Drosophila melanogaster: one gene and its partners. The protein of the gene in region 1 interacts with the protein of each later gene in a pairwise test. Each region holds a gene or a part of one and is shown on either strand. Other genes may lie near its edges.

Region 1 (3,492 bases):
CGCCGGGTAAAAGCAAAAGTTTAAATTACTTTCTAGTAAAACTTTGATCCGCAACAAAAAAAAAATGGGCTAAAAGCAGAATGCCAGCGAGATTAATGCTTAAAGCGTAAAGGGTAAAATGCTGAATTGTTAAATAACTAATGCATGGCCAATGAACTTGCCGAGCAAAAGTTTTAGCAATTTATCTGCGTGCCCCCTTTTGCGCCTGCTTTAGTTTCCTTCAAAATATTTTATGTTAAATACATGATATGAATTTCGAAAAAAATCCATGTTCTATGGTGCAACATTTTTTTGAAAATTATAATTAATAATCTCAAAATAATTTACTACATTTTTTGTATAGAACTTTTTAAAAACGAAAAGTTCTGAAATAAATTTTTATTCAAAATGAAGAACCATTTATACATAGTGCAGTTGGTTCTCTTTAAAAATATTTACTAATAATACAAAATTAAGGTGTTTCAAAGTAATAATAAAAATGTATCCAAAATTTACTAAATAATAAAATGATTTTTTTTTACAAATTTACAATTTTTTTTCCTTACAAATTTCGAATAGAAGTAAGCCTCCCAGGTTAGCAAAAATGTTGCATATTTAATTAATCATAATTGTACAGTTCATGTTTTATTCAAACTATAGTCAATACTAAAAACTAATATTTTAATTATAAGTGGGAGCCCGATCGATGGACGCTGCCTCCAATATCACCTTCATTATCTTGTCCTTGGCAAACTCGGAGGCGTCGGTGTTCAACTGTCGTAGCCGGTCGGCCACAAAGTCTCCGAAGATCTGGGAGCTGTCCTTCTGGGTGCGCAGAGCATTGGCCACTGCCTTGTTGACCATTTCCTCGTCCATAATGCTGATGGTGGACATCTCGCCCTCGCCTTCAACGTCGTCCTCTAGCCTTTGCTCGCCGCCGCCGGTCAGGGAGCACGATGAGAACATGACCTGCTCTGGTTCGTAAAGTGCCAGGTTCTCAATGATTTCCTCGTAGTCGACGGACTGATCCGATGCACTGATTTTTTCCTTTTTTACCGGGGAAGTTTTTGGCTGCGACTTCACCTTGACCTTGTAGGGAGTGGTGCTGGAGCTGCTGGCGGATGACCTGTTTAAGGGGCTGTCGTCTGTGGTTTTCTGGAAAGGTGATAGATCCAAATTAGGCGGGATTGATGACAAACTGTGCACACTTACGATTTGCTGTTTAAGGTTTAAGTGCTTCATATGCTTCTTGGTCGACGCATGTGCACGCAGATCGCTTATTTTGGTGTTTACGCAGCATTTGCAGAAGCGGCAGTGCGCCCGGTAGGAGTCGTCCGGATCACGCCGCAGCCACGCACGAAACTCCTCCATTTGCAGCCACACATCGCGCAGTTTCTGCTTGTAAATTTTCATAATTCGACAAAAAAGCGCAATGGAAATTAATTAAAACACGACGTACAGCAACAATGTCAATGCAATAGTGATGACAATAACAATGAGAGTAGTGACGCCTGCCGCCAGTGTTGCCAGTTTGCTGGCAGCAAAAAAGCTGTTTCTAGCTGTACAGAAAAAAAGCTGTCTTACGCAGGGCGAAGAAAGCTTTAAAAAAGCTAAAACGCCACAGTGCGCCTGTGTGCTTTTCGTGACGCTTATAGATAGCCAGGTTCAATAATAGCATGAGTACGATATTTATTTACAATTTTATTATATACAATATAATAATTATTAATTGCATTATTAATTTGATATATATATTGGTACATTTTTTGTTTTGTTTTATTTCACTAATATATTAGGAATATTTTTAGTGAACAGGCGAATATTAAATTTATCTAATGGCTCGAATTTAGCTAGATATTACCAATAAATTAGCTGATCTGGCCACATTGTCATCTCTAGATGAATTCTTGCTATCGTGTGCAGCTACTTACTGATCATGACCTATCGATAGCACAGTAATCAGCTTATCGATAAGCCGCGATCAAATGTTTTTTTGAATAATTTAATTCAAGTAGTAGTATAGTTAAAAAATCAAAATAATCGAATAATCTTTATAATCTTAATTTTATACAAAAATTTAAGAATACGGGACACCGGTTTTTTGAACCATTTTTTTTTCATTTTGCATTCTTTCAATTCCTACCAAATATTGTGTGCCTTTTTTTTATTTTATTAGGGAGAATTCACCCGCCATGCGATGTCCTTTGTAGTAGGGCTTCCGGGCATTGGCAAAGGACTCTCGAGCTGGCAGACAAACAAAACTGAACCGCAGACAACCCACTCAATTGGAGTTGGCTCCTTTAAAAGTTCATTCGTTTGTAAATAATTTTTAGCCGGCGGCAAAATCGATACTTCGCTTAAGATTTTTGCATATATAGCGACCATCGCATAGCTCTGAAAATTTTGTCAAGCTGCGCAAAACTTTCAACGGCAGCCGACGAGCAAAGTTATATGAGCAGCGTATGCCGATAATGCATAAGAGAAAAGTTGGGGGGAAAAGGCGGAGAAATGGGAGAAGAAGAAGGAGAAATGAAAGCATAAGCCGAATGGGGAAGTTTTACTATTAAAGTTTTTCATCAGCGCCTATTTGTCGAGCTCTCGAAACTTGGCCCTAAACCCCTTTTTTGGTGCTGGGGCGAAGGGCAAATATTTGTCAGGCAATTAAATGTTTACTGTTTTTATTATATGCTCTTGTTTGCCCTACCCTTCTCCCCAATTTTATTGTGACAAAGGAGCGGAATGAATGAAAGGGTTTTTGTCGGCTATTCCGGCTAAAATTAATCACACGCCCCGTTGCCGCAGTGCAAACAATCCAGCAAAGGTAAAAGCGTACAGACTAACCGCAGTACAGCTTAGTGTGCACCTTGCATTCAGGATGTTGAAAATATTAGCTTCGAAGGTTTGGGATTGTAATAAACCTACAAGAGATGAAAACGTGAGTCACCAGCAGAGACATTTAACTGGTGCCCTTCGTCACTAAGTGGACTGCCGTCCACAATGAAGTCGCGAGACAAACAAATAGATAAAAACCATCCGCAGATCATTTCAGACCAACTTCTCACCTACCTAACCATAATTATTTCGTATCAATTAATAAACCACAACCATCGTCATCCACTCAATGGTAATGGGATTTGCTGGTCAGCATTTGAAGCGATTCATTGAAGCGGATCAGCCACTCGTTCCGGCTCAAGCACCACCCAGTCTCGATTTTCCGGCATTTGCATACAAATTAATTAACAACACTCGTTCGGGGCCATAGTAAATTAATAATTTAGCCAGACATTACGCATATACGACGCATCGGCTGAGTGGCAGTAAAAAGCTGTCCAAAAACGCGTCGGAGATGGGCCAAGAGTCATTTTAATTACCACATAACAGGGCAGCGGGCCACAAATGGCAACTGGGAAATGCGAAATGCGAAATGCCGGGGCTTTTGGAATGGGTGAGCGGAAAATGGGAAATGGAGAAGGGAAAGCATGTCACGCTAAATGGGAAATGTTGCGAATACGA
Region 2 (7,827 bases), on another chromosome or scaffold:
AAGTGTCCAGATCCGCTGTATTGGAACCCGGAGATAAAGTCATGTGATTGGTCCAATAAATATTGCACAAATCTTCGGGCGAGTCAATCGATTTCTTGCGCAGCGGGCATGAATTTTAACGTTTTTCAAAGCGATTGCTCCAAATATGTCAAGTGTTTTGGCCTGAGAGGTGTTGTAATGAGCTGTAATTCAGGACTTTACTGGAATCCCGTTAGTCAAGTTTGCGAAAAGTCCCGGCGATTCTGCACATAAGAGTAAGTCCAATTAAAGTAGACAAAATTTTAATAAATAACATGCGGACACTTTTTTTCAGGAGCAGTGCAACGGCATTATTCATTGGACAATATTTACCTAAGAAATGAATAAAAAGATTGCGAATTATTAAAAATTTATTTATACTGTGGAAATTACAAATCGATTAATTAAAGTTAGCAAAATTATTAATATAATGAAACAGAAACTGAATGTTAAATTCCTATTGTTGTATATAAAAAAAAAAAAACACATTCAATCGCATTTTTATTTCACTGGGGTTTTTTTTTTAGATGATCTAAATAGATATTTTTGGATGCATGCAAATTTATTTCAATAGACTGAGACACTTTGGTAATGAACTACCCTATTGTTATAGAAACAAAAGGTAGTCTCAAATTCATCTCAAGGTGTTACAAAAAATTGGTCTCAATATAAATTCTTATTACGATGTAATAAAAATTTCATAGCACTTTATTCCCATTAAAATTGGAAAACAAGGTTAAAGATATTTTTAAGTGCAATTGTATCTAGTAAAATAAGTAATGGGTACACTGTAGCCGGATTATTTGCTTTCCACAGTTCCTAGGCCTTTTTCGTAGATCTTATCAATCTAGGTTTCAATTAAAAATATTACTAGCCTTGAAACACACCCCATACAGACGATGGGTATTCAAAAATTGAAAATTTAATGCTTCAGTTCAATTTAACACATGGTTTCATAGAAGCTCTTAGCAGATAAGGGTATAAAGCCGAATTCAACATTGAATGGGGGCTGGTAGAGACTGCTCTATATATAGATATGACGATGGGTAGTCTAAACAGAAAGCGAAAGCAAATAGTTAGTCTCAAAGGTTATCTGATTAAATTACTTCCGCCAATTTTTGATTTGTAGAAATAAATAAGTGGCTTGGGAAATCCAAAGCCCAATCGATAAAGCCTTCGCCAGATGCAAAGAGAGCACATACAAGTCAAGTGAATGAGTGTGGGCAGGGACACACTTGAAATGTATCCAAGAGATACACAATTGCGTATCTTTATATGCTAATAAATGCCAGTACATTTCCCTAAAATGGGTCAAAAGAGTCCCCCATCCGTTGGCATAGACTACGATGTTGTAATGCCCATAGAAACTCATTTGTCGAGGGGGACGTCAACGCGCCGCCCCTTCCATCGGCAGGCCAAGCCAGACCAAGTGATCGATTGACACGATCAAAGCGCTGATACGTAATGGAATAGACACTCGAATGAATAGCACTGGCGACGAGCTCCCAGCTCGGGCTCCAAGTGCCCTGATCCGCCTCACAGATACCAGCACTCTGCGCTGGTGTGGATCCTACATAAATATTCATGCTGGCCAAATGCAAATGTATTGGAAATTGCTCGCCTTCAATGAATTTGAGTTCTGCTCAAGCTCTAGAGTTTTGATGCTCGTACAGGGCAGCGTTATTCGCAATCCAGCAGTTGTCGCGATCGGAAGCAAATCGGAAAATCTCCATTGGATTCCTAGAACACGCAGCCGAAAAAGTATGTGCCTAGGATGTGTGCCCTCGCAGCAAGGACATAGAGCAAAAACAGCTCTCAAATACAAGGGATTAGTGAAGAAATAAGATAACAAAACATCCTATTAATTGTGCATTACGAAACGGATTACAACTTGTAGAGTTTTATTTGATAAAATTTAAATGTGAATTTCTATATGCAGTGAAATTGAAATCAACCAAAATACAGGACCTTATATCATTAGTAAATGGTCAAAAAGAACAATAAGTGTGTAAATTATAATGTGTGCAAACTAAGAATCTTGTACTAATCGAATCATTGACAACATCTAAACACAATTATGTGAAGATTAAATTTTCTTCCCAAATTTATTAAATATTTCTATATTCAAATATAAATATGTACATTCTGTAACAATTCATATTCGCCAGGATAATCACACAATTATCCTTTCGAAGTGTAAAGTGCTTATGTGACTTTCTTGTATTTTTTACATATAAAAATCAAAATAAAGATGTGAAAAGCGAAAGATATCAAAAAGGATATGTACATATGTATGATTTCAGACTACAAATTCAAACACGTTTGTGTCAAGAACTAAAATTCGAAACTTACATTAATCAGCCTTAGCGATTACATCACTCGCAAGACTGAAATATAACTCAAGATCGATTGCCTTTTTTTTGGCATCTAATAGCACAGCGTGCGTGCTCATTTTAAAGAAAAGTGATAACCTCTGAAAGTGACGGACAAGAAACACAGAGAAGGAGTATAAACTAATAATAACACGCATCTATATGGTGTATTGATAATACAATTCAATTTCATCTTACAGTTTGCTGGTTGTGTTGCCGCGACGTCGACGCCTTTCAATTGGATTCAGGGTTTAATTTATTGAAATGTTGCCCTTTCGCTTGGGCCTGCTACTTGGCGCCGTGCTATTCGTGGCAAGCGCAAATGGAGCTGCCATCGTAAGTTTCCGAATTGTTAATGAATCTCCCCGAGAATTGTTGCTTCTCTGTGTGTGTTGAATGGAACTAGAGTAGTGTAATGTAAATGAACTCGGTTCGAAAAGTAGGCGATAAGACATAATTTGACCAAGGTCAGTTTCTTACAAGCAGCATCTAATCGGGCACACTTGCACAGACCCTTTGAATGAATAAAGATTAGACTGACATTAGCATTGAATTTAAATCGATGTATTAACTTTCAGGAAAATGAGGTTTCTAGTCTGAACGACTTGCAGCGGGAAAAGAGAAGCGGCAGAGGCTAGTAAGTAGTTGGTTAACAACTATTTTGGACCAGATGGGCTTACTTCCTTTCCATGTTTATCCGCAGTTCGAGGGGACAAACCCAGTCTCAGTACTTAAATTTCGGTAAGCCTGAGGAGGATGGAAAGGCTGAGGCAGAGGCTACCGAAAATGGATCTCGCTCCACTGTGTGTGAGTACGGGTCAGATGAGATTCATTAGCACTTTGTCCATTGACCTCTTGACCTCTTTCAGCTGGCACCCATGGAATGGGTCAGGCTCAGAGCCAGTTCTCATCAGGGGACTGCAATGGATGTTCTGGCTACCAAACGGATTACCCTTCTTCAGGCAGAATTCTTGATGCTAGTGGATCCGGAGGCATCGGTAGACCCGATTCCATTATAAGCTTACCCGGAGGTGGTAAGTCGTATATAATCAAAATGTATACAGTTTGATATATGTTGCTCTCCCTGAAGTTGGCGGACAAACCGGAGCTGGACAAGCCGGATACGGAAGCCAACTTGGAGTTGGCGCTCAGGCCGGTGCCGGACAACCCGGATACGGTGACCAACCTGGAGTTGGCACTCAACCTGGAGTCGGACAGCCCGGATACGGAAGCCAACCTGGTATTGGCGGACAGACTGGAGCCGGACAGCCCGGATACGGAAGCCAACCTGGTATTGGCGGACAGACTGGAGCCGGACAGCCCGGATATGGAAGCCAACCTGTGGTTGGAGCTCAGACCGGAACCGGACAACCCGGATACGGTGCTCAACCTGGAGTTGGCACTCAGACTGGAGCCGGACAGCCCGGATACGGAAGCCAACCTGGTATTGGCGGACAGACTGGAGCCAGACAGCCCGGATATGTAACCCAACCTGGAGTTGGAGCTCAGACCGGAATCGGACAACCCGGATACGGTGCCCAACCAGGTATTCTTGGACAGACTGGAGCCGGACAGCCCGGATACGGCAGCCAGCCTGGTATTGGCGGACAGACTGGAGCCGGACAGCCCGGATATGGAACCCAACCTGGAGTTGGAGCTCAGACCGGAACCGGACAACCCGGATACGGTGCCCAACCTGGAGTTGGCACTCAGACTGGAGCCGGACAGCCCGGATACGGCAGCCAGCCTGGTATTGGCGGACAGACTGGAGCCGGACAGCCCGGATATGGAACCCAACCTGGAGTTGGAGCTCAGACCGGAGCCGGACAACCCGGATACGGTGCCCAACCTGGTGTTGGCGCTCAGACTGGAGCCGGACAGCCCGGATACGGAAGCCAACCTGGTATTGGCGGACAGACTGGAGCCGGACAGCCCGGATACGGAAGCCAACCTGGTATTGGCGGACAAACTGGAGCCAGACAGCCCGGATATGGAAGCCAACCTGGGGTTGGAGCTCAGACCGGAGCCGGACAACCCGGATACGGTGCCCAACCTGGTGTTGGCGCTCAGACTGGAGCCGGACAGCCCGGATACGGAAGCCAACCTGGTATTGGCGGACAGACTGGAGCCGGACAGCCCGGATATGGAAGCCAACCTGGGGTTGGAGCTCAGACCGGAGCCGGACAACCCGGATACGGTGCCCAACCTGGAGTTGGCGCTCAGACTGGAGCCGGACAGCCCGGATACGGCAGCCAGCCTGGTATTGGCGGACAGACTGGAGCCGGACAGCCCGGATATGGAACCCAACCTGGAGTTGGAGCTCAGACCGGAACCGGACAACCCGGATACGGTGCCCAACCTGGAGTTGGCACTCAGACTGGAGCCGGACAGCCCGGATACGGAAGCCAACCTGGTATTGGCGGACAGACTGGAGCCGGACAGCCCGGATATGGAACCCAACCTGGAGTTGGAGCTCAGACCGGAACCGGACAACCCGGATACGGTGCCCAACCTGGAGTTGGCACTCAGACTGGAGCCGGACAGCCCGGATACGGAAGCCAACCCGGATATGGAACCCAACCTGGAGTTGGAGCTCAGACCGGAACCGGACAACCCGGATACGGTGCCCAACCTGGAGTTGGCGGACAGACTGGAGCCGGACAGCCCGGATATGGAACCCAACCTGGTATTGGTGGACAGACTGGAGCCGGACAGCCCGGATACGGCAGCCAGCCTGGTATTGGCGGACAGACCGGTGGCGGACAACCCGGATACGGAAGCCAAATTGGCGGACAGACTGGAGCTGGACAGCCCAGCTATGGAAGCCAACCTGGAGTTGGAGCTCAGAATGGAGCCGGACAACCCGGATACGGTACCCAACCTGTTATTGGTGGACAGACTGGAGCCGGACAACCTGGATATGGAGGTCAAACTGGAGTCGGTGGATCGCCTGGATTTTTAACTCAGCCAGGTATTGGGGGTATAAGCGGACCGATTGGAGGGAAACTCGGTGGCGGACAATCAGAAGCCGCAAAACCTGGATATTGGGCTCAACCTGGAATTGGCGGACCATCCAGATACGGCAGTCAACCTGGAATTGGTGATCAGACCGGAACCGGACAGTCAGGATACGGCGGGCAGCCTGGAATTAGCGGACAGACCGGAGGCGGACAACCAGGATACGGAGGACAGGCTACAATAAGCGGACTCCCTGGGTATGGCACTCAGCCAGGAATTGGAGCACTAACCGCTGTTCCTGGCGGACATTATGGATACGAAACTCAGCCTGGAATTGGTGGACAGACCGGAACCAACCAACCCGGATTCGGTGGTCAACCTGGAATTGGCGGACAGACTGGAGCCGGCCAACCTGGATATGGATTTATAGGTCAGCCTGGTATTGGAGGGCAAACAGGAACTAGTGGAAGGCAACCCGGTTACGGAACCCAACCAGGAATTGGCGGACAGACTGCAGCCGGACAGCCCGGATATGGAAGCCAAACCGGAGTTGGCGGACAGATCGGAGCCGGACAGCCCGGATATGGAAGCCAACCTGGAATTGGCGGACAGACTGGAGCCGGACAACCCGGATACGGTGCCCAACCAGGTTTTGGAGGACAACCCGGATACGGAAACCAACCTGGAGTTGGCGGACAGACTGGTGCCGGACAGCCCGGATATGGAAGCCAACCTGGAATTGGCGGACAGACCGGAGCCGGACAACCCGGATACGGTGCCCAACCAGGTTTTGGAGGACAACTCGGATACGGAAACCAACCTGGAGTTGGCGGACAGACTGGAGCCGGACAGCCCGGATATGGAAGCCAACCTGGAGTTGGCGGACAGACTGGAGCTGGACAACCCGGATACGGTGTCATACCTGGATTTGGAGGACAACCTGGAATAGGCGGACAGACCGCCGCTGGAAAGCCCGGATACGGTGGTCAACCTGGAATTGGTGGATCACCTGTGTATGGAACACAGCAAGGAACTGGAGGTCAATCAGGAATTAGCGGTGGCCAACCCGGGTACGGAACTCAACCTGGACAAACCGGAGCCGGGCAACCCGGATACGGAAGCTTACCTGGAACAGGTGGTCAGGCCACAGCTGGCCAACCCGGATACGGACCCGGATCTCAACCCGGAATTGGCGGACAGACAGTTGGTGGGCACGGTGGATACGGTAGCCAACCCGGAATCGGTGGAGCGCCAGTTTATGGAACACAGCCAGGAGGTGGCGGCCAAACTGGAGTCATTGGAGGGCAGCCCGGACAGATCGGAGACAGAGTAGGACAACCAGGATACGGAACCCAGACAGGACAAATTGGGGCACCAGGTCGATATACAGATGGAAGTCAAACTGTACCTGGTGCTGTTGGCACCGGTGGAGTTGGTAAGTAGCTATCAAGGCGGTGGAAAACAATGTTTTGAATTGCTCGTTTCCCAGTTGCTGCCGGTACCAGCGGAGCTGACGATGCCTTCTCCCAAGCCGAGTCATCAATTGGCGACGGACAAGCGTCGGCAAGTGCTCAGGGCAAGAAGAATGGAGGCACGGCCAAGACTCAGGTGTCGGGAACTTACAGCTCCGGCGGAACCTTTAGCGCCAGTGCAATGACGTCCGATGCTGATCGTGCGGCCAGTGCACAGGTTACCGGAAATGCTGATGGAGCCGTGAGTCAGTCTCAGGGATCGGGAGGTCCTGCCCAGTCGCAGGCCCAGGTACAGGTTGCCAAGGACGGCGGCACCAAGGCCTCGTCGCAGAGCGGTGGCATCATCCAACAGAGCCAGAGCGAGGTTCACGCCAATGACAAGGGCGGCCTGGCGGACGCCCAATCGAGCGGACCCGGACAAACCTCCTCCCAGGCCCAGATCGGTTTCCGACCCGGCCAGGAGGCCAATCCTATAGCAGCTAATGGTGGCGGCCAGGCATCGTCCTCATCTGGCACTCATTCCAGTCAGAGTAGCTCGCAGATTCACGGAACATCGAGGTAACATTGCTATAGGATTATTGATTATTGACTTTAGCCACTCATTATTGGTTTTGTATTTCAGCTTTGGTGTTTCTTACCATGGTGCTGCACAATCCGCGTCGGGAACCAAAGAGCAGGTTGCTACTTACAGGGAAGCAAACAGGGAACTCTTCAATACCATCAGTCAGTTTGGCAACAACGCAAATGCGTAAGTAATCGGAAAAGTGAAGAAAGAAAGAAAAACATGTTTTGGGCTATTTAAAAAAAGGGATAACGTATGCTTCTGTGGTTTTTAAATTGGCAAAATATGTTCAAAATTGATTTCGAAAAGTCACACACTTTAGCTCAATCAATTTATTGTGATTTTATAACTGCCATGCCTTTATGGAATTCTTTAGCATAAAACGTATTCATTTTTGTATACTTTTTGAGGTTATTTATGTTGGATACATAAACGAATAAATCCT
Region 3 (5,082 bases), on another chromosome or scaffold:
GGAAAAAAGTTAAAGAATTATGGATAAATTGTCTTATATGCTACGATGATTGTACACTCCTGATTACGATTACAGTTTTCAATGCACAGCATCGAATTATTTATTGCATTTATGGAAGTAAAATAAAGAGGTAGTTACTTTTGATAAAAGCCTCAGAACATGGATACTTTAAATTAAAGTTCTCCACTGAAAAAGCATTCATAAAATGTTTCCGTTTCCGCATTCATTGCAAGCCCCGCACAATTTTCTATGCTTCATCAGGCCAAATAAAGCCAGAAGCTTTTGACCGGACCACAATTGTGGCACTGGGTTTTTGAAAGGGCGCGGCAAGGGAACCAAGATATTTTATCAGTCAAAATGCACACACATGGGCCAACTGCAAACGGCAGTTGCCATGGTCAACACTCATGGGCGATTTTGTGGCAACGGATGTTGGCCGCATTTTTCCAATTTACGCGCCCTACCATTGGTTATGAAATTCTCATAAATTTAACTGGAAAATGGCAATATAGTGTATAGTGGACATAGAACCCTAGGAAGCGCAGGTCGTTAATGAAATTGCCATGTTTATTTAATTCCCGGCTCATTTGGAATGTAAAATCAACGCTACTTTTGGGGGCTACACAATTTATTTAAATAAATAATAAATATATGTACGGTATATACACATCATTAGTTCCTCTCAAATCAGGGTTATAGCGCTAGTAACTAGTAGAGTAGTCATTCACTATGCATATATGTGGATTATTTTTGCGTCGCGTCGAATTCAGCTGGCCATTATGGCTTGGTTATGTTAACTCAAGGGCCAGTCGCCTGGCCTCAACCTTGTCCTGGGCTCGTCCTCCGTCCTCCATCCGCAGTCCGATTCCGTGCCGTGCCATGTCCTCGCGCCCTTGTCGTGACTCAATCGCCACCGCACACTTGAGCACGTTTGCCCAGGCGTGGCTTGAACGGCACCGATTTCTTAACCATGCGCTGCATGAACTGCCCGCCGATGGCCTCCTCGCCGCCCGCCATTCCCGTCGCCCCCTCCGCGTCCAGTAGTCGCCAGGAGTCAATGCTGCGGCCAAGGCGTGGCGTCCGCACGCGATAAGCGGGCTCCCCATTACTCTGCACTGTCCAAATGGAAATAGGGAGAGTATTTCATAATATATGTATAAGCATTTTGATAAGGAAAAAATGAATGCGAAATTTTCAAACAATTTTGTTCAAATGTATCCAACATTCTTTGGATAAGTAATAGTTTCCATGATTGAATAACATAAATGAATGAATGGTTAACTCAATTTGAAAAACATTGAACATTGCCTAAGTCACTGTGAAGGAATTTTTCTAGTAAAAATTGCAGATTTCTCGGACTTTTGTACGGTATTGTCATTACGTATGGAGATTGTTCTTTTTTTTCTGAATATAAAATATTCATTTAAATATGCCAATGTCTTGTGAAGTAAAGAAACGACATGCATATTAAATGAAAATAACATTTTCATATTATGTTTTTCTCTCTGCAAAAAATGAGGAAAAGCTTATGTATAAAGTATGCGAACATTATGGAGATGGTTGCGTGAAATGGGAACGTGATTCGGAAACCAATTAGAGCGACTTGCCCTCTTCATACATATATCCTTCACATTTCAGCAGGTGTCCATAGGCAACTTACGCTGTCGTAGCTTTTGAAGGAGCAGGTAATAGGTCAGTGGCGGCATGGTGTCCAAATCGAATTCCTGGCCCTGCGGCGGCATGGCAGCCACCTGCATGGTGGCACTGGCCTTCTGGGCCAGGCTATTCTCCTCCAGCTCGTCAATGATGTCTGTCAGCTCTTTGTAGTCGCCCATGGCGCGCTTTTGACGTGCCTCGCTCAACGCTGGTGAAGCTGGTGATAATGATCCTCTGGCAGAGCCGGCGCTGATGTGATTTCCCAAATCCAGTTTGCTCGTGCCCTGCACAAATAAAAAATGCCATAAAAGCAGGGGCCAAAAAAGCAGGCGAAAAAAGGAGCTAAATATTTGAGATATTTCCTTGGAGGATGTTGTTTTTTTTTACTGAGGGTTCCCACGCTGCCAAACTGTCGACACGTGTTAAGTTATTTTTATGCCGCCTATTTATGCTCATACTCGTACGTGAGCTGCACACACGCATAAAGGTCCTTCCAACCGACTTGCGGGTGTGCCTGTATGTGTGCGTGTGGGTGTCTATGGATGTGAGTGTGAATGTGCGAGTCAAGCACTTTATTGTTTCAATTTACACCCAGGCATGGAAGGCAGATCAGCGTGTGCCGCTTGATTAGACAACTCAATGTAGATTGAAATGCCAACACCTGAAATCGGCTTGTAAATCGCAATTCGCCAATAAACGCTCACTCTAAGCGGATGTCTGCGTGGGCGTATACTTGATATTAAACCTTCATTTGGCTCAGCATTTTCGAATACACTCAGCACAGTCGATATATTTTGCAATATTCTAAGCTGATATGAAAAAGAGCAATGTTGTAGCTGTCGTGAATTTATTGGTTATTTCTTTAGTTTCTTTTAGTTTCCCCGTTTAAATAAAAATATTATGAAACATATTCGTATAATATTCCCTGACAATAAACGAAAAAGAATAAGTTTGTAATTAAATAATTAATAATAGTTACAGTTTGAATTGTAATAACACTAAGCATTTTGTAATGTCCAGAATTTAATACAAAACACTTGCGGATTCGATATCAAACGATATAATTTACCTAAAACCAAATACAACACCACAAATTCCCAACCCAATGAACTATGCATAAACTTGATATAATTATGTCTTTTTGATTAATTAAGGCCTACTAGGTTTTATTACATCTGCACTGCCAAGCATGGAAAGTTATTTTAATTAGTGGTGCGAGAATAAGTTGCGCAACACGTATACGCAGTGTTGCTGCGATTGCAACCGAAATGTTAATTGGATGCCAATTGATTGCCTGCTGGCAGAAAAAAAAAATAGTTGCAGTATCTGCAAACTAATTGGTAGCACTTCAAATGCAGTTGACAGACGGGAAACGAGTGCGCCACATAATGCTGTAAGGCACACGTCAAAGTGAAAACTTTTCGCCCCAAAATTTCCGTTCCAAAAATCCAAGAATTTCAGCACTGGTTGAAAATTATCACGCTAAGCTGGCGAACTTGTGCCTGGGCAAATAACACTAATTAAGTGGCGCTTGTTTGGCCAACAAGCCACAGTACCAACACCACCACATTTTTCCCACTTTGCCCGAGACTCACCTGCAAGGACTTCGCATGACTGCAAACAAGGATGTAGCAGGAAGCCGCGATTAGCAGCAGTGTGCAATAACTAGGACCACACATAACTGGGCCAACTGTGTTCGCTGCTAGGTGTTTTCTGGCGTTTACGAGCGACTGACCTCCCAGGACAGGACAGGACACTCCGGAAGCGCTGGAACTATTAACTTAATAGTCGGACGATCGAATGGAACCGCGTTGCGCTTTGGGACTGCTTTGCGGGACAACTGATGCCAGCAGCGCGGCAGATAGCAAGTTATATAGCCAAATGCTAGCGGCCCCATGCGAGCCTGATTAGGTCCCTGATGGACGGGTGCTAAGTGATTTGTTATGCACTCTAATACCGGCCAAAAGGCAGCCCGCTGGTCAGCGTAAACAAGCGAATCAAGCGGCAAATCCCAAACGGAAGCGCCACCAATTTGTCGCCCACAGAGCAAGTGAAAAATAGGATTCAATGAGTGACTGGCATTCAAATTGGGAAGCTAATTGTAAAGTCTGCAGTGGGAAAAATTACAACAAAATCAAAAAATACATTTTAATACGAATTTTATATGGGCTTTACCTCAATTTCCGGGTTATCACTTTAGTCTGATGATATTTAAACTGACTGTTGCAGGTATTCGTTGATAAGCCACGAAATATTTTATTATAGCGGCTTAATAAACGAGCTAAATGCTTGCTTACTGATAAACCCACAGATGCAGATTTAAATATAAGTTGATAGGTTGTCAAAAGTATGACATAAATAAATTAAACCAAACCCTTTTATTATGACGTATATAAAAAGCTTCTGAATAATCATATAATTCATAATAATAATGGATATGGATTAAATGCCCTCTTAGCAATGGGACACAGGTATTCTCAAATTATTTTCTTTTAAGTGTATCCAGCGTAATCGTGGGGCATCCTGTTTAATGGAAATCTGAGCGCGTGTAAAGTCCATCACGCCCCTGATGGCGATGGCGATGGCATTAGGCCCAACACCCACCACAATGGGGGCAATGTCAATGCCGTTGACGCTGCCAATCGATCAATCTTATTTAAATGTTGACAGTTGTCTTCGCATTGTATCCTGTAGCTTGGGGCCTGTTTTTGCCTGTTTTGCCAGTTCTGCGGATGGGAAAAGGCTTGGGGGAACTCCACAGCTTCGCAGCTGGCTTATTTAAATGCCATCCGTGAGCCGCATTAGGTTCAATTTGCTGGGCAAACACATCTTGCACACCTGCGCTGGCAAGAAGCTTCTCCTTTGACTGACTGAGCTGTCAGCAGGCATTTAAAATCAGATTGTGAGCACTGCGATTGTCGGCTGCCAAGCGAGAATGGGTCAAGAAGGCTGGCAAATCAAATTTCTCATACGCCCCGGAAGACATAAGCTGCGCACACGTGGTCGGGCTTCAATAACAGTTGGCTGCAAATCACGAGAATTTTCAATTATCTAAACTTGGTCCCTGGTCAGACATCAACCATCCATCAATCGAGTGTTTTTCTGGATGCTGTCGTGATGGTCATTCGTGCAGCTGTTGCAGCTACTGGTCGAGTGTTTATTTGTGCCACTAATTTACACAAACATGACCCGGACACGACCCACACACAAACTCGACCTGGTGACCCCCAGCTGGCATTTATTTATTTACTAACTCTACGTACGTGGGACGACCTCTTTTCCAGCCAAGGCCCTGAAGGATTTATCTATTTGCCAACTGCTGAAAATGTATCCTTGACGGACGAAAAAAGAAAAAAAAAAAAATGGAACGAACAATGCCATAAAGTTGCGAAAAATGTAATTTGACAAACCCGTATCTGAGGGATT

The links.
Region 2: the proteins of CG10139 (region 1) and prc interact in a two-hybrid assay, tested with the Drosophila melanogaster proteins (one large-scale study listed by BioGRID).
Region 3: the proteins of CG10139 (region 1) and Hug interact in a two-hybrid assay, tested with the Drosophila melanogaster proteins (one large-scale study listed by BioGRID).

The regions. Positions count from the first base shown.
Region 1 is NT_033778.4:14,643,256-14,646,747, reverse strand, and holds CG10139 (uncharacterized protein), read right to left. Parts: upstream 1,479-3,492; 5' UTR 1,393-1,478; coding exon 1,192-1,392; intron 1,135-1,191; coding exon 661-1,134; 3' UTR 597-660; downstream 1-596.
Region 2 is NT_037436.4:11,960,005-11,967,831, reverse strand, and holds the start of prc (pericardin), read left to right. Parts: upstream 1-1,700; 5' UTR 1,701-1,779; intron 1,780-2,590; 5' UTR 2,591-2,654; coding exon 2,655-2,726; intron 2,727-2,968; coding exon 2,969-3,027; intron 3,028-3,093; coding exon 3,094-3,197; intron 3,198-3,259; coding exon 3,260-3,424; intron 3,425-3,480; coding exon 3,481-6,783; intron 6,784-6,837; coding exon 6,838-7,378; intron 7,379-7,442; coding exon 7,443-7,568; intron 7,569-7,827. Other genes in the region: Muc68E (mucin 68E), read left to right, coding at 1-252.
Region 3 is NT_033777.3:12,524,609-12,529,690, reverse strand, and holds Hug (hugin), read right to left. Parts: upstream 3,504-5,082; 5' UTR 3,336-3,503; coding exon 3,252-3,335; intron 1,941-3,251; coding exon 1,661-1,940; intron 1,116-1,660; coding exon 904-1,115; 3' UTR 615-903; downstream 1-614. UniProt on the Drosophila melanogaster protein: Probably has a role in larval molting.